Linked DNA regions of Drosophila melanogaster. The gene in region 2 interacts genetically with the main gene of each other region. Each region holds a gene or a part of one and is shown on either strand. Other genes may lie near its edges. The genes, in order: m, Ppt1, Cisd2 and Syt1.

Region 1 (8,511 bases), 3.1 Mb from region 2:
CATCTATAAAACAGTAGTCGACTCTAAAAGTTACTGGGTAGAGTTAGAAAAGAAAAGTAGTTGGTTGTTTAAGGTTCCTGCGAATTCAAAAGTCCGTCTGCAATGTACTGGCTCTCAAATTGAATTGTTTGATTTGCCTCAGCAAGGAGTTTTAAGCATTGCGCCATATTGTACGGCAAGAACCGACGATAAAATTCTAGTTGCCCACCATAACATTCAGTCCGAAAGTGAAGAATTATTATCAACACCTTATATAGGAGAAGTTAGTGAAGCGCCGAAGATTATTTGGGATCCGCTGAAACTATCAATATTAAATCATACTGAGGAATTTGAACGATTGAATAATGAAATTAAATTTATGAAAGAGAACCATCAAAAATTGAAAGATTTACATTTCCATCATATTTCCGGACATGCTGGATTAATTATTGCTTTAATACTAATGATAGTATTAATAATATATTTCATACGGAAATGTGCTGTGCAACAAAGAATGCAAGCAATAACCTTTGCAGGTCCGTTGCCAGTACTATAAATATCAATAGTAAATAAACAATAAAATAATATAACAAATAAAAATATACAGTCCACTATATCGTTGTTGTTGCATGAGGTCACCATAGGGGAAACAACGATTTCATTCGATTCATTCTAACAAATTAAACCATGTAAACAGCAGAGGCTATCTTTAACTACAGAATTAATCAGATATCCTTCTCATCGGGGTCACCTGTTTGCAGGAACTGGTGTAGTTCTTCGGGATCACTTGCAATAAGAATATCTTTAATTATTATCTTTAATTTCAATGATTTGGGACGGGGTCACCAAATGAGGCAAATGAATACTCGTTGACAGGCATCCATCTTGCTGAGGCCCATCGACCGGCCCACTAACCCATAATGCTGGCAAATTAGCATCGACATTAACTCGGTGGTGGTATCAGTCACCTTCTCCAGTCACAAATGCCGCGGTAATAGCAACAACACTTGCGATGATGGTTCCTAATGGCGATGACAATGAAAGAGTCTGTCCGCGAAGACAGCTTTATTTACTTCTGGGTCACGATGCTTGGTTTCTTTGTTGCTGGTGTCAAATGACTTGAGACATCCATTGGAGTTACAGGTGCTGGGCACAAGTCCGTCCGGACCAGGTGAGCTCATGGAGGTTATAAACATCGCACACGCCCCAAATGGAGCAGCATTTGCCGGCGAGTGACAAAAATAGTTAAATAGCCGACTTAGCCAAATTGGCACTTGGCGACCAAGGAGGCAGCGTACAAAAAGAGGAAATGCACTAAAGGAAATGTTAATAGCAAATTTAAGTTATAGATTAAATCAATACAATGAAATGGCTTTCATGGGTCCAAATTAGTGTACGAAAAGTTCTTTTTACCCGTTTAGAAGAATATAATTTCTTTTCAAATGTGAGTTACATTTTAGTGTAGAATGCCAATAGATTTCTGTGAGTGTAGACAGCAGCAATAGGAACAGCAGTCGGAGCAGAGATGGATTTAGAGGCAGTTTTAGAAGTGCGTTGAGGAATTACAATGATGACAGAACGGAGGGGAGCAGGAATACGGTGAAGGAGGGGACAGTATGAGTTGGTCCACCTCCCGACCAGGTATGTCTTATGGCCAAGGAGGTGGTGAGGCAGCGGGCGGACAAAGTGTGCCGATGGATGTCTTTGAAACGGGCGATGGCGATAGCTAACACGCCAAGTGGGAAGAAAGAACGAGCAACTGAGACGGCGACAGACGCCAAATTCAAAAGTGGACTGCACATGCGTGGAATGGGAATGAGAACGAGAAAGCGATTGCGAACGGAGCATCAGAGAATCAGAGAATCGGAGAATCGCACTTGAAGAGTTGGGACAGAAACAACTTTGTTGCCCTGACTCCCATGTTGAGCTAATGAAGCGGGCCAAGAGGTGGTTTGGTGGAACGATCAGGAGGACGCCCGCCAAGTCAAACGTTATTTAATCACAATCGCAATGGCCTCAGTGGAAGCAACAACAACAACATCAGCTCCAGTCTGGCCTGGGAGAAGTAGCTACGACAGGTGCTGCTGCAGCAGCGGTACTGAATCCAAAGGAATGCATCAAGGCACAAAAAAAAGCAGTCCAAAAGATTGAGGCTACCTTTTCGAACTGGATTATACTTAGCATTACCACTTCAAATTAATGTATGTAATACTTTTTACAATTGATTAATTAAAACAGTTTAGAATATGTTGTTTTAAACGAATTTGGTTTATTAATGAAGAATTCAAGTGGAAGTATTGTAAAATATCTTTTTATAAATTAATTTCAAGGAAAACTCGCAAAAGTACGAATATAAAATGGTAAGAAAGTCGGATAAACTAGTTCGCTTAAGGAAACTTAAATTTAAGGAGGTTTGTTAGCTCACATTCTTCTGAAGCCCAGGGATTCTTCCACTTTCTTCCGCTAAAGACATCATGCTCCCAGGTGTTCAAAAGAAGAGGGTACTAAATAAAAAACCCGATGTGGCAGCCGAGACTCTGGAAGAGGCAGTCGCAGTGGCGTGTGGAGTATGTAGGCCCGACGGCCAATCAATTCTCAGAAATGAAAACGCCGTCTTCGGTGGGTATTACCGTTGCTGTTGTTCTGCTTCTGCCGCTGGCTCTTCTGATTCTTCTGGCTCTTCACATTTCTCCGCCTTGTTGTTGGCACAATTGTGCGATGCAACACACAGCAACAGCCACATAAACAGAAAAGAATGCGAAGAAATGCAAAATGCAAACACCACGAACCACAACACAACCACTTTCCAAATGCATTCATGATGTTTACCGTTTAAATGCGCCCAGTCTACAAAGAGAGATAGACCCAGCACGTGGGAAAGAGACGGAGAGAGACAGGGAGAACGAGAGAGCGAGTGTGGAGCGAGGAGCAGCCTCTCAAACACTAACAACAAATATGGAGAAAAGCAGCTGCCAAGTAGAAGACCAAGAGGAAGAAGAAGAACGAGGAAAAGAAGAGCCAGCATGGAAACCGTTGCAGATTCTTGGCGTGCAAATGTATGTGTAAGCTTGCCAATTCCGATGTGTGCTAAAGAGAGATAGAGCTTAAGATCGCAAGAGGAAACGGATTTTGTTTTTTTTTTGTTTATTGCTCAAATCAGCTCTGATCAACTTCTGTTCCCATCTTGATTAGTTGTCAACGACGGGCGAAAACTGTTTAACCGTTATGAGCCGGCAGATCGGTTCCCAGACCCAAAACGCTAACTTATGCACCTTGCCCACCTGAAAAGCTGGCTACAATATTTCGCCCTGCATGCGTGCAGTATTTTTCGGATAAGGTATGAAGTTGTTATTAATCGTTATACTTTTCATGAATGGTATCAAGGTGTTTACATTTTAATTATTACTTTTGAAGAGTTTTTTACGTTTCATAATTAAATTATTTTAAATAAATATAAGCTTCAAATTCATCGAGATTTTCTTATAATCCTATTACGTGTTTCATAATGCAATCATTTAATGTATGGGGAACACTTAGGGGTATCCATTAAGTCGAAAGCTTCTCTACGAAACGAGCGCGCCGAAAGTTCAAGTTCAAGTGCGCCAAATTCCCGACGTCAACGTCGGCTGCGCTGCCAGCTTTCCACTGCGTTGCCATTTTCCTGCAGGAGGAGTTTTCAAAATCTCGCGATCTTCTGCTGATTGAGTGGGCGTTCGAATGTATTTTTATTGAAGTGCTAGATGTAAGTTTCTTTTTATTGGTCGTCTAATTGGCAGGCTATTCTATGTCATTAGGCCGCTTGATTAGCGCCACCAACAACAACAACAACAATCGCAACAATAACAACAACAAGTTCTGGCTGAGCTGTGCTCATTTGCGCAGCTGCCAACGCAGGTGTAAAAAGCTCGTTGCGCAGTCGCAGTCGGCGCAGGCAGAGCTACTCTCTCAGTGTGCTTGTGTGTGTGTGTGTGTGTGTGTGCGTGTCTAGCTTTGCCAGCTTCTTGCGCTGCCTCTCTCCCCCTTTCTCTTTTGCTCACTCTTCTGTGCTTGTGCTGCTGCTTCTTCTTCTTCTTGTGCTGCTGCTGCTGTTGCCTCTTTCTTCGGCTGCTGCTGCGGCTGCTGTTCCCGACAGTTACATTACGAGGCCAAAGAAAGTATCGCCTGGCTGGCTCGCGTATTTCGCGTTCGTCGCTCGCCGAGTCCACACGTGCTGCTGCTGCTAACGGTCGTGATCGGTGATCGTGATCCGTGATCCGATGCCCAGTGTGCTGCCCAGTCGCGCCTACAACAAATGTTGATAAAATAAATAAATTTCAAATAAAATAGAAAATCAAATAAGTAACACCACCCGAAGTGCTTACAAGTGTTAGTGCAATTTTTTTTTATTGTTCTTGTTGTTGCCACTGCCTGTTACCGTTACTTGCTTAAGCTTAGCAAGATACCGAGAAAGAACGAGAAGAGAGTTGAGAAGAAACGTTCCCGCGAAGTGAGTGTTTCTTCCATCCAAAAGCAAATAATTTTTTTGTTTTTGTCATATTGCCAATTTGAATTTAGAGTTGTGTGAAATATCCACGATTTGCAACCAGAAACTTATTCTATTCTTTGGAGAAGCCAGTCCACGGCTTTCCAACATCTTAAGTCTATTTCTTTTGCTTCCTGTGAAGACTTTATCCAGGATCTGTCATTCCTGCATCTTATTCGTATTCCTCTCTCCGCAGAGCCAATTGCATTGCTTGAGTTCTGTGAAACATCCAATCTTAGTCTTTCCAGCATCTTCTGCCTCGTCTTCTTGGACCGACAGTGGAGCCGATTAACCAGCTAGACAGCAAATGCAGCCGAGCATTTCATGCTTTCTAATTTTCCCAATTAGCACAAATGCGGCTGGCTTGTTGCCTCCGCTTCTTGTGCGCCCCTGCGTCCACGTCTTTTGCCACTGATTCTTCTGCTGCACCTCTTGCCAGCAGAGTGGTGTCTTCTCAGCCTGGCCAGAATCGAAATCAAAATCAAAGGTATTGCATGCACTGCGCCTTGGCGGCTGGCACTTTCCAAAGTTTTTCCCGTGTGGAAAATATAACAATCATACATAATAATAGTTAGTCATAACAATCACACGTACCAAGAAGACGAGACGCGAGACGCTAGAGTTCCATAAAAAAGAGCAACGTCATCTGGCGGATCGTATTCCCACACGCCCAGCAGGTGCACTATTTATTGACCGAACTCCAAAGCCCCCAATTCTCTAACCCCCCCCCCCCCCACACACCCTGTCCCCGGCCACCCCGCACAACTCGCATACACCTGTCAAATGGCAACTAATCATCAATCAGTCGCCATGAGCACGGACTTCACTCGGACTGAAAAGTCTCTGATGACGATGATGATTCTTCTTTATTTGCGTTACGTGTTAGGCGGTCCGGTTCGGTTTGGTCCGTTCTGTTCCGATTTCACTTCTGTCCTCCTCAGCTTTGTACATTTTTATGCTACACCATTTAGCTATTTTTTTTGTTGTTGTTTGTGCCTCACTCACATTTTAATGCATTTGCCAAACGCAGAGCCGGGATTTCACAAAAGAACGGAAATATAAGGAGTCCAGAGCAGCTGTAACACACTCAGCTGTGTCTTGACCTTCGGAAAGATTACAACTTATCGGTGAGTTACACACATTATCTATATTTTATTGAAACTACTAAACTTAGTGGGTAAGATATAGAATAGAATATAGTTGAGTAAGCTTGCTCTGTAAGGATTCTTAAAAGAAATTGTGGTCACGTTGTATCTTATAAGGCAGTCAACTATTGGTGGTCTTTATCTGGCCATAAAGCTTTTAATATCAGATTCCCCAGCAAACTTAAATCAAAGGATGTAAAGTATGTGCTTATTAATTAAACAAGCCAGACGACGATGTTCGATACAAGCCAGACAGATAATGCGAGGATAAGAGTGCCAAAAGCACGTTTATTAGCATACTGTTTTGACATCTTTTACTGGCCACATTGCCACCATTAAACCGTGTGGCAATGCGACAGGCAGCAAATGAAATGTTATGACAACTTTCGTCACTTGGCACTTGGTTCATTAGTCTGCGAAGAGCAGATAAATAGAACAGATCTTTGCACAGATACGGGGCCAAGTAGATGGAGAAGTGAGTGGTAGCGGTGCAAATGCATTTGATCCGTTTTGGAGCGCATTAAATGCACCGTTAACTACTTCGAATTCTAATTAAGCTGATGCGACAATCCAAAGCACGCCGCTGTGGCACAATAAACTCAATTCCAGGAGGCCAGATTGGCAGCAGCAAACAAACACGCGACTTGGCCATAAATGCAAGTTGCCAGGTTGCAACCAGCAAGTTGCAAGTCTCGTTGTCGCAATTCGCATTCGCATTCGGAATCGCTATTGGGAATCAGTATATCGGACAACGGCAGCTATCTCCACGCTGGACTATCTCTTTGTTTGGCCTCAAATGATTGGCTTTAACCATTATTGGTGGGACCCTAAGCGGCTTTACCTTACCGCCTAACACTTTTCGATTCAAGGTCTGATTCTGTTCCTTGGTTTCTTCATTCATTGTTCCCGTGCCCCTCGACTCCACTCATCGATGACGCATAATTTATGAGCTGCTGCCGCGATCGACCCAGTAAATTCTATTCCCAGTGCTCTTTCACATCCATATACCATATCCACATTTGCAGATACATCGTAGAAGCAGCAGATACATGAATACAGTAGATACAGATACAGAGATACGAAGACGTGTACAATATGCAGATGCGGATACAAGATAAAACCTCGTCGACAAGTCTTTTCTTTCACAGAATGTTAATTTGTATTCAGCCAACATCAAAGATACTTCGGACACTGGAAAATATAGTGTGTGTGTGTGTGTGGTGGGGAGGGGGGTCTATTGAGCTTGAGATGCCGGCGTCTCGTCGTCTAACTGTTCTTTGCCTTTCTACAAACATTCCATAATGAAATGGAAACTTTTCGTGGCACATTTCGGCCTTTAGTGCATCTTTGGCCCAACGAAACGGTTAGAAAAGTGAGAGTGCTGATCGACCCAATGGGGCTCATCAAGCTAAGATATCTCAAACACTTAGGAATGTTGTTGAGTTGAGCTTACAAAAAGAACAATGCGGTCAAAAGTAAATATTCAACTAATACAATCCGTAGAGTTTTCTTACAAGTTTTCCCTCAACTTGGTCAAAACAGGGCGTATAGTCGTACAATGGCATGGAAATTTTTAAAAATTCGTAAAAAAATAGAATTCCGAATAACAGTTCGAATGAAAACAGGTTTTGGCCAAAGTGCACTACTTACGATAGGAATTTGCATCGTAACTTGCCTAAAAATGGTCATAAAGATAAACCAATGACTGTTTTTTACAGCTTATTACCAATACTAAGTATCCCTAACACTTTTTGAAGGATTTTGAAAAATTAAATTTTGGGTCGATTTTCGCATTTTCGGTAAGGGGTAACATCATTAAAATTTGCAAAAAATGGGTAAAAAATAGAATTCCAATTTTTGAATACAGTTTGAATGAAAATTTAATTACGAGCTCAACGATATATGACATTCCATATTCAGACTATTATTTTCAAAGTTATGGCCAAAAAACCTATTGATGTATTATGGAAATTCGGAAAATCGGTTTTTGGAAAAATCCGCTATTTACGACGGGTCCTTTCTTCATAACTTGGCCAAAAATGCTTATAAAGATGAACCAATAGCTGTTTTTTACAGCCTATTACCAATACAAACTGACAAAATCAATTTTTGAAGGATTTTGAAAAATCAATTTTTGGGTCCAATTTTGCATTTTCGGTAAGGGGTAACATCATCAAAATTTGCAAAAAATGGCAAAAAATTAAGGAATTATTAAAGAGCCCAACGAGGTATGACAACCCACATTTGGACCATTATTTGCAATATTCTGGGCTAATAACGGATTATATTCATGCGGAAAATCGAACAAATTAGCTAAATTTGCTATTAAGTTGTGGATATGATGCAGAATCGGTCCTCAAAAGTCAAAGCCACTCTGAGTGAGCCTTAAAGCAAATGTCATAAGTATGTACATATACTACATATTTGCATACATATTTAAAGGCCTCGAGTCCTCTTCAAAAGCAGAGTGCCAAGTGACCCAAGGGCACAGCGCATCGAGCAACTCTTGAACACTCTCTGGCATAAACATGCCCAATAAAGATGTTAGCTTTTCGTCTGTGCATCCGATGATAAGCAGCTGGATGTCTTGCTGGCTGGCTGACTGTCTGGGCTTGGCTCTGCCGTCGAGACGGTCTGCCCCATTGCTACCAGCTCCAAGCTTCGAGCTCCAAGCTCCAATCTCCACAATCCCCCCATTCTCGATTCCGGCCAGCATTGTTTGCACTTGACTCTGATGGCTGCTGGGGATGTGGGATTCCGAGTGGGAGTGGGAGTCATGGATGCTGATGGAGGATGAGCGTTGCTGCTGCTCTCAGTTGGCAGTTGTCATGTTGACAACAGACTGCCAAACAAAAGTTTCGCTGC
Region 2 (7,607 bases):
CAAAGGCGGATGGTCGGGTGGCGGGTGGTAAATGCATTGGCCGCGGAGTATCAATTTTCGTTGGTTAAGGGGTTGGTGAAGGGGGATGGCGAAGGGGGCGGATCAACAGCACGCGAGTCGCTAAACATTTAATTGATTCCGTGGCCGTGAATGGTAGACTCTCGTTTCGCTCTGGATACAGGAAATTACCGCTTTTACACACTTGATATTGCTGGATATATCCGGTTATAGAAATTACACCCAAAACGGAAGATGCTCATGAATTCGCGTTTGTTTATATCCTTAAAGTAGCTGAACATTATTAACTCGATTTCTCTGCCTCTTGCAGGTGCATTTCCAAGCGGGCTTAACCAATCCGTGGATCTGAAAAGGAGGAGCAGGCGTCGGTCGTTGGAGGCGCCGGCATAGAGAACTTTTCCGAGACGCGAGCGCCCAGCGGAGCAGTCGCCACCACGACGTCGACATCGCCACCGCCGCCGCGAGCCGCGCTGCTGTCACCAGCCGAGCATTTGGACGCCAGCGCCGACGATCGCGGGCGTGTGTACAAGCTCCGGAAGAAGAAATACCTGAACGCAGCGCATATCACATAGGGAGTCGTCGTCGGTGGAGGAGTGGAGTAGCCAGTGCGGTTTGGGTGCTAGGAATCGGTGCTAGGAGCTAGGATTAGGAGATCAAAACTGGAAAAAAGGTGCATATGTGCGGAATGCACTGAGATCTGAGATCATTGATCACTTGTTGTTATACATTGATCGTTGGCTCGTCTTTTCTTATGTTATTATGAATGAGCTTTGAATTCACTGGCTTTGATCATCTTAATTATGAAATATTTGGCGAATTCTAATGTCGATGTGCTTTTGTTTTTTAGCATAATTTAATTCGAGGAGGAATCTGGGAAAGCGCAATGCCCGTACAATCCCCAATTGAGATCAGCAACCGTGCCATCGAGCACATTGACGATGTGGATCCACTAGAGTACCATGGCCATTGGGAGCCGGTGGGCGTGGCCCGGGTACAGAACACAGGCACCTCCGCAATGGTCACATTCAGCAAGCGAAAACAACAGCCATACATAATCGGCGGTGCCCTGGAGCAGGACATGTACGTGTTCGAGCAGCTGCACTTCCATTGGTCGGACTGCGATGAATCCGGCTGCGAGCATACACTGGAGGGCATGAAGTACTCAATGGAGGCCCATGCCGTCCACTACAATTCGAAGTACAAGGACTTCACGGAGGCCAAGAACAAGCCCGATGGCCTGGCCGTCGTCGCATTCTTTATTCAGGCCTGCGGCGAGAAGGACTGTCCCGAGTTCAAGAAGATCACCGAGGGCATCCGCATCGTTCAAAAGATCCATACGAGTGCATCGCTGGATTCCGGTGCGTGTGCAATTTTCACCGAGTATGGTTTTAAAAATGTGACTTACTCTATTACTCTTGGCTCTGCTTTTTTAGATTGCCTATCATGGATTGGTCTGCAGGAGCTGAGCAAACATTATTACACGTACAAGGGTTCGCTGACAACGGCGCCGTACTTTGAGAGTGTCACCTGGATCATATACCGCACCCCCATCTATGTGTCTCGCGGCCAGGTGCGTGTTTTTCTCACCAAGATGATCCCCCAAATACTTTCATTTGGAACACTAAATTTGAGAAACCTCTTTTGATTTGCAGGTTCAGGTGTTTCGCAATTTGCAATCGTGTCCCAAAGATGAGTCCAAAAAGATAGTCAACAATTATCGCGAGATCCAGCGTCCGCACAAGGATCCGGAAATCTTCTTTGCGCGCAACACCAATCCAAAGTCCAAGTTATAATGTGCTTGCCATATGACTTGGATACAATTCTACAATTCCCGCTCCCGCTGACTTTCCTTTTTCCAACCTTTCGCGCAATTTTCTCCGCCCAATCGCCTATCTAAACTATAGCTATGTGTAAACATTTATCTGTCTATGGTTGTCTGTAAGCTGCTTTTGTTATTTGCCTCATGTACATAGCGTTATATACCTAACAAAACATACATATACATACATACATATATATATATATATATATATATATATATATACGGAGTATTTACGATACGGATACGTGTATGGAATTTTAGTCGGAGCACGCGGTTGCCTTGCATTGAATATTTCAGAGAAATATCGGGCACAACTACTTAAGACATCTACAAGAGACGTAATCCTAACGTTTAAGTTATTAAGATAAACAGTGAAAGCGAGAAAAAGAGGAAAATAAGAACAGTAAATCAACACATTTTGTATGTCCAAACTGAATTTATTAAACATCTAATTAAACATGTATAAAAGTATCAAAAAGTCATTATTAATATTAAAATGCTTATGTTAATAGGAAGAATGGATTAAACCTATGCAAACATTTTTGTCACAATACGTGCTTTTTGGGCACCATCTTATTTTTCGAGTAAGAGAGGCACTATGTTCTGGATAAACCAGGCCTTGGATATGGCCAAGTGATCACCTTCGACGCCGAGAAAGACAAGTTGTCCTTGTCGATGCATCTTGTCCAGTCCCAGCTTTAGGAAAAAATGTACATTTCATATTAGAACGTTAGGTGATAGATATGCATACGTACATCCTGATAGACTTTGCTCTCAGTAAAGGGCTGGATGACTTTGTTCTGCCCAGTGGTGTAGTATTGAAACCACTGGGACTCCTTCGGCTGGACAATTGTGTCGTTTAGGAACTGCACCATCACAAATCTGCAAAGCAGAGGTTAATAATATTTGATAAATGTATAAGTATAATACGCGCTTACTTCTTAAGCTTTTGCAGATTCTCAATGTAGAACTTGTTGATGAAGAGCTCGTTGTTAATGTCCGCGAGAAATGTGCTGCCCAGGCGGTATTTGTTCTCCATGATCGGGTCGTGCCAGTAGGTGGCCTGAACCAATGCCTTCTGCACTTCACTGGGTGTATGGTATGCAAGAGAGAAGAGAGAATTAACACGGAAACGACAAGGATGGCGACATGGTGGTGTTGGATTAATAAGCATGTAAATTCCAGGAATTATATTATATTAGGATTCCTTAACAACAGATAGACTCACGGTGCGTAGGCGGCGTTGTCCAGTAGCCTCGTGATATAATCACAGGGCTTTTCGGTTAAGGTGGGGCACATGGGCAGTCCGAAGATGCCCTGGTGCTGCCCACCGAGTGTGATAAGGTTCCTCATTGGCGGATTCGGGCAACGTTCGGCAACCGCACGCAGAAACTGGCCGCCTTGCGAGAATCCGATGGCGTGGTATCCCTTGGCCAGGTGCTCATCCTGCAGTAGTTGCTTGCAAACGTAATCCACCTGTTCGTTGGGATGTATGAAGAAGCCGCTCTGCCAGTCTATCAAAACATTGCCGCCGATCTGCAGGGATCGCACATAGCCGCCCTTTGTTTGCTCCACGATCAGGTTCATAATGGCACCCAGGCTGAAGGGTACGCAGCAGGTGTCGCCCATTCCGTGCCACAGAACGACCGGCAGGACCTCCGGATTGGTTCCTCCTTTCGTCGGGCTCCACCATATGTAGCTCAGCACGAGGGAAAAGATCAGGAACAGCAAAAATAAAATGCATGAAAAACGAGAACAGCAGATAGAAATCATTGTTGTTGGAGTGCAATTTTTGCAAATCAAATTAGTCGTCTGCTATCGATAATATATGGTTCGATAATATAATCGGGATATTTCATGTACGGGATGTACCTGGTCTTATTTATACCTAAAGGTAATTTCGTACTGCGTGCTTTAACGCAACATGAAAAATACTGCAACTATTTTTCCTTTCAAGGCAACAGGCTTGACTATATAACTGTTCAATTAGGTGCATTTTTCGAAGCCCTCGTCTACATTGCTGCATTTATTGGTACTTTATTGTGCAGCTGTGAACAGAAAATTTACATTTTCCAACACTGGCGTCTAAGCAAAAGTAGAATGTTGTGAATACCCCGAACGGTAAACAAATGCTAAACAGCTGATAGCAATAACACATTTTATTCAGCGAGTTTGTTTCTTTCGATTTAAACTCGAGTTTTAATGTGGTTTACTATTTAAACGTGACAAAGTACTATTGTTAAGTATGCCAAAACACGGCTTAAGTTGTTTATAAAACCGGATGCTGGCTCATAACCTAGGTTTCCATAAAAAGCGCCTTTTTTCAAACATGAAGGCTGTTTTACAGGATCGGGGTGTCATAGGCTTATCCCTCGAAGAATGCGATTTGGAAAGAACTTTGCTTGGAGGACAGAGTTTCCGGTAAGCGCTATCCATACTAATAATGAACATATGTACTCAAAACAACTTTACATGCCAGATGGCGATCCATATGCGATGGTAATAGAACGAAATATGGCGGAGTGGTGTTCAACACCTACTGGGTGCTCCAGCAAGAAGAATCCTTCATAACTTACGAGGCATACGGAACCAGCAGTCCTTTGGCCACGAAGGACTATTCTTCCTTGATATCTGACTACCTACGTGTTGATTTCGACCTAAAGGTCAACCAAAAAGATTGGTTAAGCAAAGATGATAACTTTGTGAAGTTCTTGAGTAAGCCTGTGCGCCTCCTTTCTCAGGAGCCGTTCGAAAACATTTTTAGCTTCCTTTGCAGTCAGAACAATAACATCAAGCGGTAGGTGGTTCAATCAAATGCGAATCCCATCATTAAATACAGTAAATTGGTTTCTTCTTAGCATATCATCTATGATTGAATGGTTTTGCGCTACATTTGGCACCAAGATTGGTCACTTCAATGGTGCCGATGCGTATACATTTCCCACGATAAATAGATTCCACGACATCCCATGCGAGGATCTTAATGCCCAGCTAAGGGCTGCCAAGTTCGGTTATCGGGCCAAGTTCATAGCACAAACGCTGCAAGAGATCCAGAAAAAGGGGGGACAAAACTGGTTCATAAGCCTAAAGAGCATGCCGTTCGAAAAAGCTCGCGAGGAGCTGACACTGCTACCCGGAATCGGATACAAAGTGGCCGATTGCATCTGCCTTATGTCAATGGGTCACTTGGAGTCAGTGCCCGTCGACATTCATATTTACAGAATTGCCCAAAATTACTACCTGCCACATCTAACCGGCCAAAAGAACGTAACCAAGAAGATTTACGAAGAGGTCTCGAAACATTTTCAAAAGCTACACGGAAAGTATGCCGGTTGGGCTCAAGCTGTAAGTACACTGAAAGTTGCAATTTAGTCTGTGTGTTTCTTATAATATCATTATTTCAGATTCTCTTTTCTGCCGATTTGAGTCAATTTCAAAATACTTCCACAGTTGCTTGTAAGAAAAAATCCAATAAAAAACCTAAAAAGTGATCTTATCTATTGGATTAAAAAAAAAAATATTCCTACTTGTAATATTTGAATATTAAAATATAATAGAAATGTATATACTAATGTATATATAAATATATATCTAAACAGAGAAAGAACTTGATACTGGGTTTCATATATCTTTTTTTTATTGCTAAACAGATGTAATTGATTAAATAAAGTGTACATTAAATGTCCGTTTTGTATATACATCGCCATATTTATGTGTACAGATTGCGCTCGAATTTGAAATTTAGGATATTCAAAATGTGTTGTGTCCGTTTTAGAAATTCATCACCTAAGGAAACCACTTTTAGATACGCATACAGATGTTTAGGATATGCTTATGAAGTGGTTATTCGAATCTTTTATTGGAGTGAGCACTGTACAAGTGAAAGTTTCAGTATCTGTATCCGCATTCGTATCCGTGTCCGCATCTTTATATCTGTCCGTATCTTGATAAAAGTCCTCGTCTACAGGCCTCCATTCGCCTCCGCTGATCCCGCCGCCCCCTGAGTTCCCTGTTGTTGTTGCTGCTGCTGCTGCTGCTGGAGCTTGCTGCTCTGGGAGAAATCGATACAGGCGCCGGAGGTGAGATCAATCTCCTCGGAATCGGATCCATCGGAACCCTCGTCGGAGTGTCCGGATAGGGCGGCCATTCCGCCCAGTTCCATGCCGTGCGACGGCGCCTTATAGAGCTTTAGTTCTGTATAGGTCTTCGATAGCTTATCCTGATCCGTGGCCTGCTGGTGTCCCTGGTGCTGTTGTTGCTGATGCTGCTGCTGGAATGCCGGGTGCATCATGGTGAAGCTCCCCGAATTGGGTCCATTGCCCACCTCCGCCAGTTCCGAATCCTTGCTCGCGGAAGAGAGGTTCTCCGGCGTCTGGCTGGGCGGTCGAGCCGTAGCTCCGTTGCCGGATCCGCCCTGCACCGCTCCACCGCCCATGACGGGGGGCGTGCCCAGGCTGAGGCAGCGCATCCGCCAGGCGTCCTGGAGGAGCTGCAGTCGTGCCTGCTTGCGCCACTTGGCCCGGCGATTCTGGAACCACACCTGCAATTAAAAAAGGTAATTTACTCTATATAGATTTGGCCTTTTGTTGTTGGATCTAAAAACGAAGATCTAGATTCATATTCTTTTAATATTTTTGAAATATTTGCAAGATTTTATGAGATAATAATCCAAAAGGCCAAGTAAAGCTAAAATTTTATTTTTATATTTTTGACCAAGTTAATCAAAATCACTTCAATTTCCTTATATTTGTTGTACATATTGCACATTGCGCTCTTACAACTCAGTGTGTTTTGTTTTAATTCATTAAATTATATTTTTTATACAAGAAATGGGAAATTGAATTAAATGAAATAAAGAAACGTGTACTAATTATTTCTAAGCCATTAAAGGTAAGAAGAAGTACCTTAACTATAAATAACACCCCAAAAGAGTTAATTCCTAATCACCCATTACGAATCACCCAAATTCTATATAGGATTTTAAATCGGATCTCGCAGGTTTGCGGATCAACTGGGTGGATACTTTGCCTGGTCTGTAGGGGGAATTCACCTGGACGCGTGCCTCGCTGAGGCTGATCCTCAGGGCCACCTCCTCGCGCAGGAAGACGTCGGGATAGTGGGTCTTCTGGAAGAGTGCCTCCAGCTCCTGCAGCTGCTGTGGCGTGAAGGTCGTCCGGTTCCGGCGCTGTCGCCTACGGCCAAACATATACTCCGTGAGCAGATCGCCGGGCAGCGGTGATATAAAAGGACCTGCCATTAGTGTTCAATGTTTCGGTTACTCGAATGCTTATTAATTGTACACTTTAGCTGCACGAGTGGACTTGTTTTGTGAATTTTCTAGTTTTTCGTATGCTTAATATGACACACAAAAATAAAACTGTCGTAGTGTCACGACTATAATGACATTAGGTTACTATGTTACTGAACACTTTTTTTTTAGTTTTGAATACTGTGTTGCTAGATTTGTATATTATTTCATCACGTTTCCTTTTTTGTTTAGGTTATAGATTGATATTGATTGTGGTTTTTCATAATTTTTCACTTATGGCACACGAAACAAAAATTGTGTTTTAACATTTGATTTCTAAATCGCCAACAGTTGGCGCCACTTTCAAAAAAAAAAAAAAAAAAAAATAGTTGGCAATTCTAGCAAAGGTTGATTTCGTTGCTTTTCGCTGAGCGTTTGGCCAGCGACTGTGGAAATGCAGGCAGCATCCTGCGGCTTTTATGCAGTTGCCAAAGGACTCGGGCTAATATGTATGTACGT
Region 3 (6,935 bases), on a different chromosome or scaffold from region 2:
TTAACATCGATTAGGCTGCTATTCGCAGAGATTATGTTTTCCCTTTACAACACTGTATTTAAATTTAAATTATGAAATATCAGGCAATACTAAACAGTATGCTAAATATAAATATAAAACGAGATCACAGATATCTTCATAGGGGAACACTTTAAATTCAAAAAAATACGGGTCGTTTTAGAATAAACGCACCTTATTTGAAATTGGATCTTTCTTACTAACGATCAGTTAGTGGTGGAACGCCTTGCGCTTAACAGCACGCTGTTATTGAAACCCCACTTATTGGACTTTATTTACAAATTGAAATGTGATAAATAAATATACCAAAAACGATAATGATTTATGTTTTTAGGTATAATTTAACATCGAGGTCGAATAGAAATCATCGATGACCAAAATGGCCTAGGAAATATCGATATATCGCCGTAACCATGATGACTCCTGCAGCCCTGTTTCCGTCCCTTCTCTTCTTCGTTTCCGGTGAGTGCGTGTGCTCCGCGTTTTTTCGCTGAATTTGCCACTATATCGTATTTAATACTGTATTTGCAGGCAGACGATTTAAACGGCGAATCCACCATGGTGAAAGGAGTACGTACGCACAAGGGCAGTGAGGATTTTCCAATCCGTGGCTTCGAGCCATGTGAATTTGCGAATTTCCAGATGCCGGTTAGCTGCCACGATATCACAACTAATCCACCCATATTTGCAGACTCTGTACACTTACCCCGAGAACTTCCGGGCCTACAAGGCGCTCATCGCAGCCCAGTACTCCGGAGCCCAGGTGAAAGTGGCCGACAACTTCAAGTTCGGCGAGACCAACAAGTCGGCTGAGTTCCTCAAGAAGTTCCCCGGTGGCAAGGTGAGTCCGCTTTTTTTGTGGGTGTGGCTAGTGCCAGGTCATCAACACGATATGTGCCCGTAGGTGCCCGCCTTTGAGACCGCCGAAGGACAGTACTTGAGCGAGTCCAATGCCATCGCCTACCTGCTGGCCAACGAGCAGCTGCGCGGCGGAAAGTGCCCCTTCGTGCAGGCCCAGGTCCAGCAGTGGATCTCCTTCGCCGACAACGAGATTGTGCCTGCCTCCTGTGCCTGGGTCTTCCCCCTGCTGGGCATTCTGCCGCAGCAGAAGAACAGCACTGCCAAGCAAGAGGCCGAGGCTGTGCTGCAGCAGCTCAACCAGAAGCTGCAGGACGCCACCTTCCTGGCCGGCGAGAGGATCACATTGGCCGACATTGTGGTCTTCAGCAGTCTGCTCCACCTGTACGAGTACGTCCTGGAGCCCAGTGTGCGCAGTGCCTTCGGCAACGTGAACCGCTGGTTCGTCACCATCCTCAACCAGAAGCAGGTCCAGGCCGTCGTCAAGGACTACAAGCTGTGCGAGAAGGCCCTGGTCTTCGACCCCAAGAAGTACGCCGAGTTCCAGGCCAAGACCGGAGCCGCCAAGCCCCAGCAGCAGGCTCAGCAGCAGAAGCAGGAGAAGAAGCCCAAGGAAAAGAAGGAGGCGCCCAAGAAGGCTGCCGAGCCCGCCGAGGAGTTGGACGCCGCCGATGAGGCCCTGGCCGCCGAGCCCAAGTCCAAGGACCCCTTCGATGCGCTGCCCAAGGGCACCTTCAACTTCGATGACTTCAAGCGCGTGTACTCCAACGAGGACGAGGCCAAGTCCATTCCCTACTTCTTCGATAAGTTCGATGCCGAGAACTACTCGATCTGGTTTGGCGAGTACAAATACAACGAGGAGCTGTCCAAGGTGTTCATGTCGTGCAATCTCATCACCGGCATGTTCCAGCGTCTGGACAAGATGCGCAAGGCGGCCTTCGCCTCCGTTTGCCTGTTCGGCGAGGACGGCAACAGCACCATCTCCGGTATCTGGGTGTGGCGCGGACAGGATCTGGCCTTCACGCTCTCCCCCGACTGGCAGATCGACTACGAGGTCTACGACTGGAAGAAGCTCGACGCCAAGAGCGAGGAGACCAAGAAGCTGGTCACCCAGTACTTCTCCTGGTCCGGCACCGACAAGGACGGTCGCAAGTTCAACCAGGGCAAGATCTTCAAGTAATCATCTCTGCCTAGCCCAGCTCCGCTCAAAGCAGCAGCCGCCCTCATTTAGACCAACAACAACAACAGCAGCAGTAACAATAAAGTTTGAGATTTAAAATGCAGGAAGAGCACAATGCCCATTTCTTAAGTTCCAACTGATAAGTACACTAAAGATATCCAATATCTGTCGTGCTGCCTCCCACGTTTGGCGGAATCGTGTGTCTCGCCTCCTGCATTTTGTACTGGAGAATTTGTTTGTAACCGCCTAAGCATAACACAGCATGATATTGTCAACGGAACAGCCGCCTGCAGTCAGAAAATATTTATAAAAAATAAAAGGTTTTCTATTAATAACAGCACGGTTTTCTCTCACACGTGTGTGTATGTGTGTGTGTGGTTTATTTGGTTGTTGGTAAAGGTTAGGTCTGGCATTTATTAGTAATTAGAATTAAGCATATCGATTTGAATTTATGTTTGGGCAATTTTATTGGCTCCTTTTAACTTAATCCATCAATATCATCAATTATTGCTTACAATTACAAGGGTTCAAACAGCTTCGGCCACTACTATTGGTTTTAAAAGCAAACTGGAGCTCAGCGAGAGGAAATGCTAGAACGTTTGTGTATCGATGCACCGCCGCAATCTACTTCTTGATGACAATTGGTCCGACGTTGTCTCCAGTCTGCTTGTTGTGCTCGCCATGACTGCCATCGCAGTAGGGCCACTGCGAATAGAGGATTCAATTGAAAATTTTGTTCACAATATTTCAGAGGTTAGAATGCACTCACGTTCTTGGTCTTCCAGCAGCGACAGAAGGCCGCCTTCTCCGCAATATCCTCCACGTCGATCATGTCCACCACCTTGGGCTCGTTCTTGCGGATGTGGTTGTTGCAGCGTCCGCTGTTTTTGGCCGCGCAGCTGGCCCGTGCCGCCGGACAGTAGGCCAGGTAGGCGGTGTAGCCGAGTCCGGCCACCACCACGGTGGGTGGGATCAGGGCCAACCAATCCTTGACTGCAAACGAAACCAGGTTAATACGGAATGCAGTGCATTTTAAGCTTTATAACTAGATATTTTGGTCGATCAGCCGTAACCGGCACAAGGTCGTTCCCTACACACATATTGGGTTATAAACGCACCAAGATATGCGCATATATGTTTATAGGTATACCCATGTTGGTATGCCTGTATTATGCGTCTATCTAGTTGCCTATCTGCGAGACAAACTTGCTCCAATTATAAATTTCTTGGCGAGCTCAGCAGTTGTTGCATAATCGCTGCAACTTTTTTGCCTGGAAGTGCACACACTGCACTTCCAATTCCCGTTAGCAGCTCCGCAATATCACGCCACATTTGCACCTTAGTAGTCCATTTAGTTGGCCCCCCTAGATGCTGCGTCATTATCGTGGATTTGGGTTTATGTGGGGCGCCCTTTGAAGGCAAATCAAATTCCAATGGGCAAAACCACGCTCATTGCCCAAACTTACAGGAGAGCTTAAACCAGCCGCCGATGCTGTCGGGAACCGGCAGACTTGACAAGTAATTGGGCAGCGAGGACTTCACCAGATGTGATATGGGCTCCATTTCGAAACGCCTTTTTTATTTAACTGGCTATTAAATTCGGAAAACTTGTTTTTGTGTTGCTATCGGTTAGCGGTGCTAGCAAATCGATAAGCCAGTCCTATCGGTATCGCAGTGCTAGGGTCACACTGCATTTTCGACGATAGGCAGTATTACAGATTCGTGTGTAGTCATCGATAGCATTCTGTTTTGTTTACGAATTATTGATTGAAATCAATAAATTGCAGTTTAGAATGTCTGCCGGGGTACAAGAGCGCCTGCAACTGAGCCGCATGCCGCTGGACACGTGGTCGAAGCGGGAGCAGCTCATCCTGGCGTCGGCGGTCTCCTGCAGCGGCGACCAGAACTGGATCACGGTGAGCCGCACGCTGAAGACGATCTGCGGCAATGGCAGCAGTAACCGACCGGCGGACTGGTTCTCGCAGAAGAACTGTGCCATGCAGTACGGCAATCTGCTGGAGAGCGTGGAGGCCACCAAGCGCAAGAAGCGCAGCAGCGAAAGCAGTGCCGGCGTCTCCTCGCCGGCCACCGTGGAGACGCCCACAGAATTGCTGCTCCGTCGGCTCACGGAGGAGCGTCAGGCGGAGATCAAGGCGCAGATGCGTCAGGATCAGGAGACTTACCGACGCATCCAGCGGGAGATTGAGTCGCTGCAATCGGACGCGGTGACCGAGCAGGAGCTGCAGGACATGTGGCTGGAGATCGAGAAGGAGCAGGAGGCGCGCCGCATCGAGGAGATGAAGCTGGAGAATCGCATGCGGGAGCGCGAGCAGCGCAAGAAGGACCTGGCCAGCAACTGGCGAAACAGCAGTCTAGCCGTCAAGCGTTCCAACCAAGCTGCCGACACGACTTCCGTCGATATGGACGTGGAGGACATAAACACCAGTGGCAATGGCAAACAGCAGACGGGTCCTTCGCCTCTACTCACATCTCTCCTGAAATCGCCCACAGGCAATGCACCTGCAACGCCCACCCCAGGAGGAGCTGCACCAGCAGCCGGAGGAACTGGCAGCGTGGCCAGGGCTACGGCGCCAACCATCACCTCGCTGCTGACCAGCGGTCCAAGCTCAGCTGTTGCCAATCAGCCAGTCATCACCATGAAGAGCCCCACAGATGCGGCGTTTATGTCCCGACCTATTACCGGACCTCCGGCCAGTGAGGCTTCTACTACGCCCACACTCGAACGGAGTCCCTCGCAGGCGGCACCCACACTCTCCATGCTGCTAGAGAAGAACATGGCTGCGGCGAAGGCCAACGAAAGCGGAAGCTTGGTAAAGCCAGAGGGGTCAGGAAACCAGGAGCAGGGTGTAGACGAAGCCACTTCTTCTGCAGCTGGCACAGCAGACTCCGACGAGGCGGATCCCAACGAAGCGCAGCTGCTGGAAGTCTTCAAAAACATTGATCAAATAATAGATGACATCGACATTGATATGGCCAGTGTCATTGACGATGAGATTCTGAAAAATGTGGATGACGTCGTAGCCTCGCCATCAAACGATAAAGCCGAAGTTATTGACTTTGAGGACAAGCTGGACGCTTTGAAGCGGGAGCAAAGTAAAAGTTCCCCAGCCAGTGATAAACCAAAATCTGTGGAGCTAGTAATTGGATCCAGCGATGACTCCAACGACAATATACCCCTGGCTGCCGTGGCCTCCCAGGAGAGTAAGGATCGTGGTCAGTCCGGTGGTGAATCTACTAGGGGCACCGAGGACGCAGAGTCCGAGCCGTTGACCAGCGAGGTGGCGGTGGAGGAGATTGGTGAGACCATTACCATTATCAGCACTTCAAGTGAGGATACTGCAGGATCGCCACCCACGAAAATGGAGGAAGATGGGGCCACTGATTCCCTTCCGAAGAAGGAGGATGCCGCGGAAGACAAATCCGAACAGGAAAGTAGCTCCCAAGGACAAAATAAGGCAGGAGGAAGCACGGACGAGCCGGAACTAATAGATCACCAAGCCACTAGGGAAGCACAAAGCAAGTCAGGCAAGGACACAGCGGGAAAGCCAGTAACAATGCAAGAAAAGACGACCACTCAGTCCGCTCCGGTTCCTGTGGATCTGCACGACACAGACGAGGAGTCGTCTTCGTTGACGGACAGCAGCAAGCACGATGACCATCCAAGGAGTGCAAAAGCTAAGCCCCCGGCATTGAAGCTGGCTCTGGATGACTCCAAGTCGGAACTGGAGCTGAGTGGCACACCTCAGCCACCGTCGGCGCCAGCTCGAACGCCTTTGCTACGAAAACTGCCGCATCGGGATCGGTCCGAAAGTCCAATGGTGGACGATGACGCCACAACAGCCAGCGATCATTCCACTGCTAGGTCCACACGTCGCCGCTGCTCCTCCACGCCCGTTATCGACAGCATACCCAATTCTCCCGCCTCCAGCGAGCACACCGACGATCGGAGAGAAACGCGAGCCGCCTCCAAGAAGCTCTTCCTGTCCATTTATGCCATGTTGCTGGACAGCAAGCATGCGGCTCCCTTTAAGCGTCCCTTCCACGACGAGCACGCCCAGCGACATGCGGATCTATGCCTACGCCCCATGGATTTCCCCACCATCAAGCGGAACATCGACTCGGGATTCATTCGCAGCTTGAGCGAGCTGCACAGGGATGTCCTGCTCATGGCCCACAACGTTTTGGTGGCCTACAAACCACACACGGCTCAGCACAAAACGGCGCGTTTGTTCGTGCAGGACTGTCAGGCGATCAAAGAGTTCTCCCAATTGCCGGACGTGCAGGCAGGGATCACGGCCACGCCGGTGAGCAACACGGGAAGCTTGCGAGCGGATAAATCGAGCGGAAGCAAGGCCAGGAGCGGCTCCCGAAAGAGCCAAAGGCATCACTAGGCTCACTTAACTTTTCACACGTATTCATTTATGCATTTCATTTTGGAACTTACATGCTACATGCATTAACAATAAACATCAATCGAAGAATATTAGGTTCTGTAAGCGTCGAGATCTGGACGAGTGGCAAATGGAGCGTCGGTGTGGGCAGTAGTACCTCTTGAGGCACCTGGAAAGCCGCAGGTCGCATTGGCAGAGACGAGCGGCACAGGAGTCGGGGCCACCGAACTCGCCATGATCGACGGCGCACAGCGGCTTGCCGCGGTAGCACTTCCACACGTAGGGCACAAAGTATTCCAGATAGGAGATGCAGTTGCTCTGACCGTAGCACTTGTCGTGCACGCGACAACAGCGATCGATGCCATCGGCGGGCACTCCGTGGCCACCGAATCCGCAGTAGCAGCCGTAGCCCTTGTAGATCAGCGGATCACAGCCCGTGGAGCACTTGATCATGGAGTACAGCCGAG
Region 4 (8,169 bases), on a different chromosome or scaffold from region 2:
CGAATTTCATTGGAATATTATTGGTTCACTTAAATCTGAACAGCAGAATATGAAATTTATTCACGAGGAATCCTATTGTCAAATTGATTTTATGTTAAATGATATTCCAAGTCCGCTATCCATTGTTTGTTCACCTTTTGTTTGCATCTCATTGTTTCCATAAAGCATCTCGTGAGCCAAAGATAACTTAATATGTCACCAAAACCACTTATCCTCTCAGCCAGAAAGAAAGAAAAGCAAACTGTGTGTGTAGAGCAATTTAAAGCCAAAATGACTGGAAAGCGATGCTTCTCCTATGGCTTTTCTCTTGTTTACTTTGCAAATGACGTCAAAGGACATCCATACCCTGAAACACGCTAACACACACCAACGGAAAATGGAAAAGAACTCGGAAAACTCGAAAAAACTCGGCAAGCCGCTTAAATGAAAAGCCTGAAGGCAGCTTTGTTTATTTGGCCCCATAAATATGCTTAAAATTCAAAAGTTGTGGATGCCACGCGGGTGGAAAATTTAGATGCAAACTCTGTGTTTGCTCAACATACAATACAATTTGCATGAATAATGTGCGAAATTAAGTTATGCGGGTTAATTGCCTTCTAGGCAAACGCAATTTGCGATTTAATTCAGTTTTGGGTCGAAAAAGGCATCTTTAAAATCGATAAAATTAAGCTAAACATATTTTTCAAATAAAAAGGCATGCATCATGGCTTAAGTAATGAAAACTAATTATAGAAATATTTCTTATATATAATTTTTACCTGTATAACTTAATCACATACTTATTTGATGTCCATACCTCACAGTTAAACTAGAGCGACTAAATAAAAGTACTGCTGCTGGACTAATATACATACATGTTCTTATCACGAATTTAATGAAATTGTTTACTTTTCACCAATTTTGCATATGAATAATAAACAGCTGTCTCTTTTCTCCGCTTATCGCTTTCTTAAATGAGTTTTTGCCAGCTCATCTCGTATTTCGCGAAGATTAAACTTAAGACAGACAATTTCTCTGTAAATTATTTAAGAGTGCACAATTGATAAACATCATAACTTTAACATGATCAATATAAATTTTAAATGTTGTCCTACTTTTAAATGCACTAACTTATTTTACTTTTTAGAATGAGCGACCACGACTCTTGGCCACTTGAGGACAAAAAGGAAAATTACCGAGAAATAAATAAATTTAAATGCATCTAGGACAAGTTGTGCGGCACAGAAGCTGCCTGGAAATGACTCCTTGAGATGGAGGAAGGGGAAAACCAGTCATGTGGCAGCAAAAAGTGGAAAGCTGGGAGATGTCACGATTTCCGTGTGATTCCCTGACAAATTGCGTTGCAGCCCAGTGGCAGATAAATAAAATGGATAAACAAGGGCTTTCTACCCTCCGAAAGACTCATCCATAATAAATGTGGACGCAACAATCAGAAACACCTAGCTACCGAAAGTTGCCCGGAAAATGGCAATCACCCAAAGGTGGACCACTTTGTTATTCATATTTTATTTATGCACCAAAAAATCTCATGCTGAATTATGTTTCCTGGCATAAGGGGCCGAAAAACCCGCAAGAAAAAGAACTTAACATTAATAGGAACAAGATGTGCAGCTACTGTGATTTCCAGGAAGGCACAAGAAGGTCACAAATATTGTATGCGCCAGTTGCCACACTTTTGTCATTCTGCCAGCATTTCGTGGCACTGTTTTTTTTTTTTTTTTTGCCCACGGGTCAACGGGGCGTATGGGTGTGCTGGTTATTTTGCGGTGCCCACTTGTCTGGGCACCAAGAAGTGGCAGCTAAATAACAAACTACGCAGTTCAAAACGGCTTCGTTTCGTGCTAAAGTGTAAATTATGTTTAGGGCCAAAACAGCTGCTTCCAGTATTTGTTATTGGTAGTAAGACGCTTGAGTGGTCAGTGAGTTCATTGTTGAGCACTCGATTGATGGCAAAACATTTCCAGTAACTGTCAAAAGTGCCATAAACATGAAGGAAGTACTGCTTTTGAAAGCCAGTCTCGGAAAAGTATTATAATTGAAATGAGCAAATAAAGCAAGGTACACTGAAATCTCCTAATAAGTTCCAAAAATCAGCATTCCACTTAACGTTGTAAAATTCAATTACCACTTTTGATGAACTTACTCAATATGAACAGAACTTTCGTGTCGAAGACCCTACTAAATTAATCAAAGCTCAGTTCGGAGCTCCAATTTAGGGACGATAAGAGGAATGTGTGCTTTCCTAGTAATAATTGCTACGATTTGACCTTTGGCGAAGGACCTATAAATAGGCAGCTGTCTGCTGCTTTTTCATAAATTGTGGGCGGTGGTGCAGAAAAAGCTGATAAGGGTGCGTGGGCTGCTGGGTTGGTGGCCCGGTGGGTGGTGCAATGCAGTGACAAAAAGTGGAGCACAGATAACGGCAATTGGCTGGGCATTTTAGATTAGCGCGGGGTTCGCATGGCGATAAGATAAATGGTAAAAGGATACTGCGAGTAAGCAACGAAGAACCCGAGTAAAAATAGAGTTTTCTACCGGTCTTACCATCAAGCTGTCAAAACAAATTAACATGGGATGGATTGGACAGGCAGTCATTACCCATTACCGGGTCCAAACAAACCCGCCAGCGAGCAAATGGAGCTCGCAATATGATTCGGGTTCGGATTCGGATCTATGGCAACATCTGTGGAACCCACGCACGTAATACGGGCGAATCGCGTAGAAAATGGCCAGGAGGCTCTCGAAGCTCACGAATGGGGAAACGGTTAAACTTTTTGGCGAGCCGGAGAGTGGAAAACTATGAGAGCGGAAGGATGGAAAAGCGGAAAAGCCACACATGCCCACAGCTCTCTCTCTCTCTCTCTCTTTCTGTTTCTGTTTCTGCTCTCTTTACTGCGCACATAACCCAGAGAAGGCAACAAAATAAAAACTCGGAAAATAGCAAAGGAAATAAAAAAAAAAAGAAATGAACATGAAGGAAAATCCAAGCTAGACGTTGGAGCCCGACATTGCCTCAGGCCAGAAGAATGCCTGGCGGAGAAAACCAATTTTCCACATCATTATGCTTTTCGCTTTCATTGAACAATCCGTCTCGATGTTTTCAAAATCAAATATAGACTCCGTGCAAACAATTCATTCATATTCTCGAATTTCACACAAAAGGATTTTCGGGCGACGCGAAGGGTCAAAATTACGCTGCCGTTCGGGCCAACTTGATTATTGGCAATTATGTGCGGCCTGCCGAGCTTGTTTGCAGCATTTTTATTGCTATGCTTCGGCAATGCCCTTAATAGCCTGCCCTCCGAGGAATTCCAGCCCAACTTCGGGCTGTCCAAAGCTAATTAGCGAAGAGCAGGACTAAATCAGGTTTAGTTCTTATTAGACGAAGATAAGAAAGGACACGATGAACAAGTGATGTGTGGCACTGGGCAGAGAATTTGGCAGTCTGGCAATTAATCAAGTTAATAAACCCAAAGTATTTCAGACCTTTTGGGTTTAATTGGTAAAGGAAATTCCTGCAAATTTTTGTGAATCTATTAATTAACTTGATTATTTAGATATTAATATAATTCAAGATGAATGTTAACCATGGGAAATGTTTGTATCTTAGAATAATAAGCAATCACATTTTCTCTGATAGCTTAGAGATTAGTTTTTCTTTAGCTGCAGCAACCCTTTAGTTATGTATGTTTCTCCATTCACTCTATGGACTGCCCCAAAAAGTGTGCTACGTTCTTGTAAATACCAACACTCACCCCCTAATCAGAAATGCTGCCAATGTTTCTCCTTTCCAATCAGCAATTGGGATCCAGACTAGCGTTAATAGCTCGGTCGTTTTTGGTACTTAATTCGCTTGTTTATCGTCCGCTTTATTAGTTAGGATGATGGGTTTTGAGCAGCGTTTAACGAAGCGTGACTCCTGCGAGGGGAGCGGGGAGGGTCGGCAGCAGTGGCGACTATTTGGCAGGAAGGATATGGTGATGCGGGTCCTGGCGCTTGTCGATGTATGTGTGCTGCTGCTGCTGCCTGATTTATGTTTTTGGTTTTTTGTGACTGGCTTTGGCTAGTGAGGCCGCGGCTCGCTAGTCTCACATGAATTTCGTATACTTTTTTGGATAATTTGTAATAAAATTAATTGAAATTAATTCAATTTATTTAGATTTATTTGCATATATTTTGCAGTACAAAGGATGTCAGCGGAAAGTGAGGAAGAGAGAGAGAGAGAGAGATATAGAGAGAGAGTGAGTGAGAGAGTTGAAGAGATACGCAGCGTATACGTAATAGCAAAATACAATGGTGTGCGTAAATATTGATAGAGCGAACTCGGCTTTGTGTGTGTGTCTGTGTGTTGTGTCTCCTTGCCCAAAAGAGCATGTGTGTGCGTGTTGGTGAGTGGGCAGAGAGAGACAAAAATAGAGAGAGAGAGAGAGAGTGGGAGGTTGGCAAATTCGCTTTTTCCTCGAAGAAAGCAAATTCAGGATAGAGATTTTCTTAGGGCCATTTCTTTCGTCCTTTTCAGGGCCTCTTTTGGCTTGAATTGAGCTTTCCTTTTTTCTCTCGCACTCAGACACTTCAAGTTGATAGTTAAAAATCTCATTTCAATTTTAATTTTTTATTATTTAATTATAGGGCGTTGAAGGACTGCGGATTCGGATTTTCCGAATTCACATTGATATGCTTTTTAATCCTGGCTTTCGACTGGCCTACAGCACCACAATAGTCGGGTGGGAAAAATCAATATCCCCGCAAGTGGCTCACATGCGTTTTCACTTTCAATGATAGCCCATTTTTCAGCGCTTCTTTCATCTTCGCATTGCACATTGGAATTTTCAATTAAAATTTTCTTGCTTAGCTGCCATTTTTTCTCGACATTTGCTGCGAAAAATTCTGATACACAAAAAATGTTCTCCTTTTTTGTCAGCGCGTGCTAAACACTCGCACACACACAGTCGCATACACGCACCCACACCACACACACATACACACGCGCACTATACATTTCGGGGCTTTCGATGGCCTTTTCATTTATATAACAAATTGGAAAACACTTTCAACACTTTTGCTTTGCTTTCAACCAATTCTGTTTAATTTTCATAATTTTTTCATCACATTTTTGAATGATTTTCCATGGGCATTGCCACTTTTTATGAGCCTCTAGAATTTTTCTTTCCCATTCACCTTCAGCCTAGCGCTTTGTACTTCAGCAGTCAACTTCCACGGTCGATGTTCATTCGCGTTTTGGCCCACACGCTCCAGGAGCAGCGCTGAAAAGCTTGGGCCACTCGCCAAAACGCGAGAGCGAACCGGTTGGGGCATCGATTTTGGCCGCTCGGCCAGCGGGTGAGCGGGGCGGTGTCCACCGTGGGGGGAGCTTTTGGGCAGCGGAAATCTCGGAGGGGAAGACTTTAGGCCAGCTGGACATGGCTGAGCCCCTACGTCTGTATGATATGCAAAGGAGGATAATCATAAAATAGGCACTACCATAAAATGCATCCTTCATAAGTAAGAGTTGAATAACTACTACAGTATCTCATGTCTAGTACCTTTACATACATATTTTCAAAAATCCCTACTATATCTCTCTCTAGATTTTCCCAAAGGAGGTAAACATCTGACTGGGAATCACATGTAAAGTTGAAAGCTCCTTCAGAACCTGTTCGCAGTATGTTTTTTGGTGCATGCGTACTGGGGCGGAAGTGTCTCAATGGCACACAATGTTGCCATTTGCTGTAGAGCAAAGCTTTTCTGTGCCAAGTTTCACTTTCCGTACTATTTTTCCTTCGCCTATGAAAGCTGAGATTTGCCATGTAAATGGCGGCACTGTATCGTATATTTCACAAAAAATCAAAACAAATTACTTATCTAACGATAAGCCAAAATAGTATGACTGTGAAATTAAATCTTTTTCAATAGATCCGATCCATCCAGGCAATTTATTTGGTTTTGGAAATGCATTATTAAAAGGTCGTGCCTACTTTTGGGCTGACAAGTCCATCTTAATGACATGTCAGCACAATAATTATGAAATATAATTTAATTAATACTTTGTCACAAAAATAGTTTATAATCGTGATTTCCCCCTAGAGAGTAGCTGAGTTTTTACATGCAATGAGGATATATTTTTAAATGTTTTGAATAAATATACTATAGGAATACAAATACATAGTAAGTTACTATTAGTAACCTAAAATCAAAGCAGATACGATCTTAAATCATACTTCTTTGAACAGAAATACTTATCGACTTGCTTTCCTATGAGTTATGTATTTATATCGGGTGAATCATTAACAATCCTTTACGACGCGCAAATAAATCACGATATTCGATAGTGCTGGTCACCTTCACGCCTCAATCAGGCGGTTGGCCATACTCGGGGTTCGTGATTTCCCATATCGTTTATCTTGGGAACCCTCGCACGGCAATCGGTAATCGCTAGCGAAGAAGTTAATTAAACGGCCAGTCCTCGGGCTCAAATCGATCGAGATCGATCGCGGATGATTGATGATTGAAGCGAAGAGCGGAATGTAAACACGCACTCGCTTACGCACTTATCACTATCAGTTATCAGTGGGAAGTGGACAGGGAGCAGCAGCTCTTGGTCGGTGGTCACTTGAACTTGCTCCCAAATGGCGATAAGCGAGGCGGCACGCGCTCGATCCGATTTGGCCGTGGGGCAATTGCATTATTGGGGTTGCTGTGTCATCGAGACTAATCGATTTGAATTGGGGCAATTGGCATGATTGCTTTGGTTTGGTTTGGGGCAACTTTGATGAGGTAATGCGAAGTTTCCCACCCCCAAAAAATAGTGTTCTTTCCGCCTGCATCACCCGATTAGACTCGCAATCAGCGAATGTTTGGTTTTTTCCTATGTTATGTTTCTGATTCCGTGTGGTATCAATCGTTTTGGTGGTCGAGGTTATGGCAAGGCTACACGTGCCACCTATAATGGCCATTGGTTTTATTTGCTTTGCATATGTGGTTTATTCGGCACTTGCACCTTATCAAGTGCTTATACTCACAATCCAGATGTGCAATAGGCACAACTGAAGTTCTCACTTCTTCTAATCTACATGAAATAGCTGATAATTTCACCAGGTTTAGACTTTGTCTTCGCTGTATGAATACATGAATCACGTAGATTGCGTTCGAATTCTTGGCAAATATATTTGGATTCCAACGTGTGCGACAAAGGTCGATTGGTTAATGCCTAATGAGCTTATCTGCCACAGAAACCATTGACAAATTAATTATCATTAATGCTGTGTAATTGGTTTTTTTATCAGTTTAAATCACAAAATTTGTCAAGGCTTCTTAGTTACTTATGAATATGTACCAATAGCGTCATCATATCATTCTAATTGTAAACTAAACAAAGCGCACCCGAATAATCTTTCCGTTTTCCAAGTAAGCACTAATTCTTATACAATCTAGATATACCATTCATTAGCACCTGTCCCGCAAACTTTGGGCATGTGGTACGGATTGGCTCGAGTGTCACTCGGGGGCCATAAAAACTGACCACATCAATTCGAAAATAAGTGGAAATGAAACGCTATATTCGTGGATGCTAATTTTAGATCGGGTCGCTTCGCCACACTAGTCGGCGATAAAGAGCGTTGTGCTATTTTCAACAAATGCAAAAAGAGGTGACAACAAAGGCAACTTGACGTCGTCGTCGTCATCGTCATCATCGTCATCTGGCGGAGGAGCAACGTCACGGGTTGGCGCGTTCATCATCTCGAGCGGTTGGGAACTCGAAATTCCGGCAGACACGAGGTGCATGCGTGGACGCCTTGGCACTCGGACGCCTTGGCTAATTGCTTTGGGTGCAGCCCAGATGATTGAGTGAATTGAGTGAGACGATTCGATAAAATAAGATTCGAATTTGGTTCACACACGACTGGCGCATGACTCGTAAGTGGACTTTGGTCCCACCAAAAGATATTCACTTGCGCGGCTCAGTTTCGATCTGCGCCCGATCTCGTCTAGCCTGTCTGTCTGGATGGATGGTTGGATGGATGGATGGATGAAGGGATGGATGGAGGGATGGGTAGATGCAGGCGCCTCATCTCGAGTGCTCCAAAGTCCAAGTTGTCAATTCCGTTCATGGCTCCGCAATTACTACGCTCAATATCAATTTGTTCGCACTTACAGAGCGAACGGAAAGTT

The links.
Region 1: of Ppt1 (region 2) and m, changing one suppresses a phenotype caused by changing the other (phenotypic suppression), as found in Drosophila melanogaster (one study listed by BioGRID).
Region 3: of Ppt1 (region 2) and Cisd2, changing one suppresses a phenotype caused by changing the other (phenotypic suppression), as found in Drosophila melanogaster (one study listed by BioGRID).
Region 4: of Ppt1 (region 2) and Syt1, changing one suppresses a phenotype caused by changing the other (phenotypic suppression), as found in Drosophila melanogaster (one study listed by BioGRID).

Annotation. Positions count from the first base shown.
Region 1 is NC_004354.4:11,750,118-11,758,628, forward strand, and holds the start of m (miniature), read left to right. Parts: upstream 1-4,155; 5' UTR 4,156-4,465; intron 4,466-5,531; 5' UTR 5,532-5,628; intron 5,629-8,511.
Region 2 is NC_004354.4:8,686,367-8,693,973, forward strand, and holds Ppt1 (Palmitoyl-protein thioesterase 1), read right to left. Parts: upstream 3,862-7,607; 5' UTR 3,713-3,861; intron 3,681-3,712; exon of another isoform or gene 3,653-3,680; 5' UTR 3,614-3,652; coding exon 3,069-3,613; intron 2,929-3,068; coding exon 2,779-2,928; intron 2,723-2,778; coding exon 2,596-2,722; intron 2,537-2,595; coding exon 2,414-2,536; 3' UTR 2,261-2,413; downstream 1-2,260. Other genes in the region: CAH3 (carbonic anhydrase 3), read left to right, coding at 902-1,376, 1,452-1,588, 1,671-1,811; Ogg1 (8-oxoguanine DNA glycosylase), read left to right, coding at 4,122-4,261, 4,320-4,637, 4,699-5,185, 5,245-5,331; CG11294 (uncharacterized protein), read right to left, coding at 5,802-6,380, 6,891-7,097. UniProt on the Drosophila melanogaster protein: Cleaves thioester-linked long fatty acyl groups such as palmitate from modified cysteine residues in proteins or peptides.
Region 3 is NT_033777.3:29,219,721-29,226,655, forward strand, and holds Cisd2 (CDGSH iron sulfur domain 2), read right to left. Parts: upstream 3,709-6,935; 5' UTR 3,620-3,708; coding exon 3,523-3,619; intron 3,050-3,522; coding exon 2,826-3,049; intron 2,762-2,825; coding exon 2,681-2,761; 3' UTR 2,497-2,680; downstream 1-2,496. Other genes in the region: eEF1gamma (eukaryotic translation elongation factor 1 gamma), read left to right, coding at 577-588, 710-859, 923-2,056; Brd8 (bromodomain containing 8), read left to right, coding at 3,850-6,468; CG14507 (uncharacterized protein), read right to left, coding at 6,547-6,935.
Region 4 is NT_033779.5:2,794,731-2,802,899, forward strand, and holds the start of Syt1 (synaptotagmin 1), read right to left. Parts: upstream 5,250-8,169; 5' UTR 5,179-5,249; intron 4,107-5,178; 5' UTR 3,756-4,106; intron 3,592-3,755; exon of another isoform or gene 3,102-3,591; intron 815-3,101; exon of another isoform or gene 759-814; intron 1-758. UniProt on the Drosophila melanogaster protein: May have a regulatory role in the membrane interactions during trafficking of synaptic vesicles at the active zone of the synapse. It binds acidic phospholipids with a specificity that requires the presence of both an acidic head group and a diacyl backbone.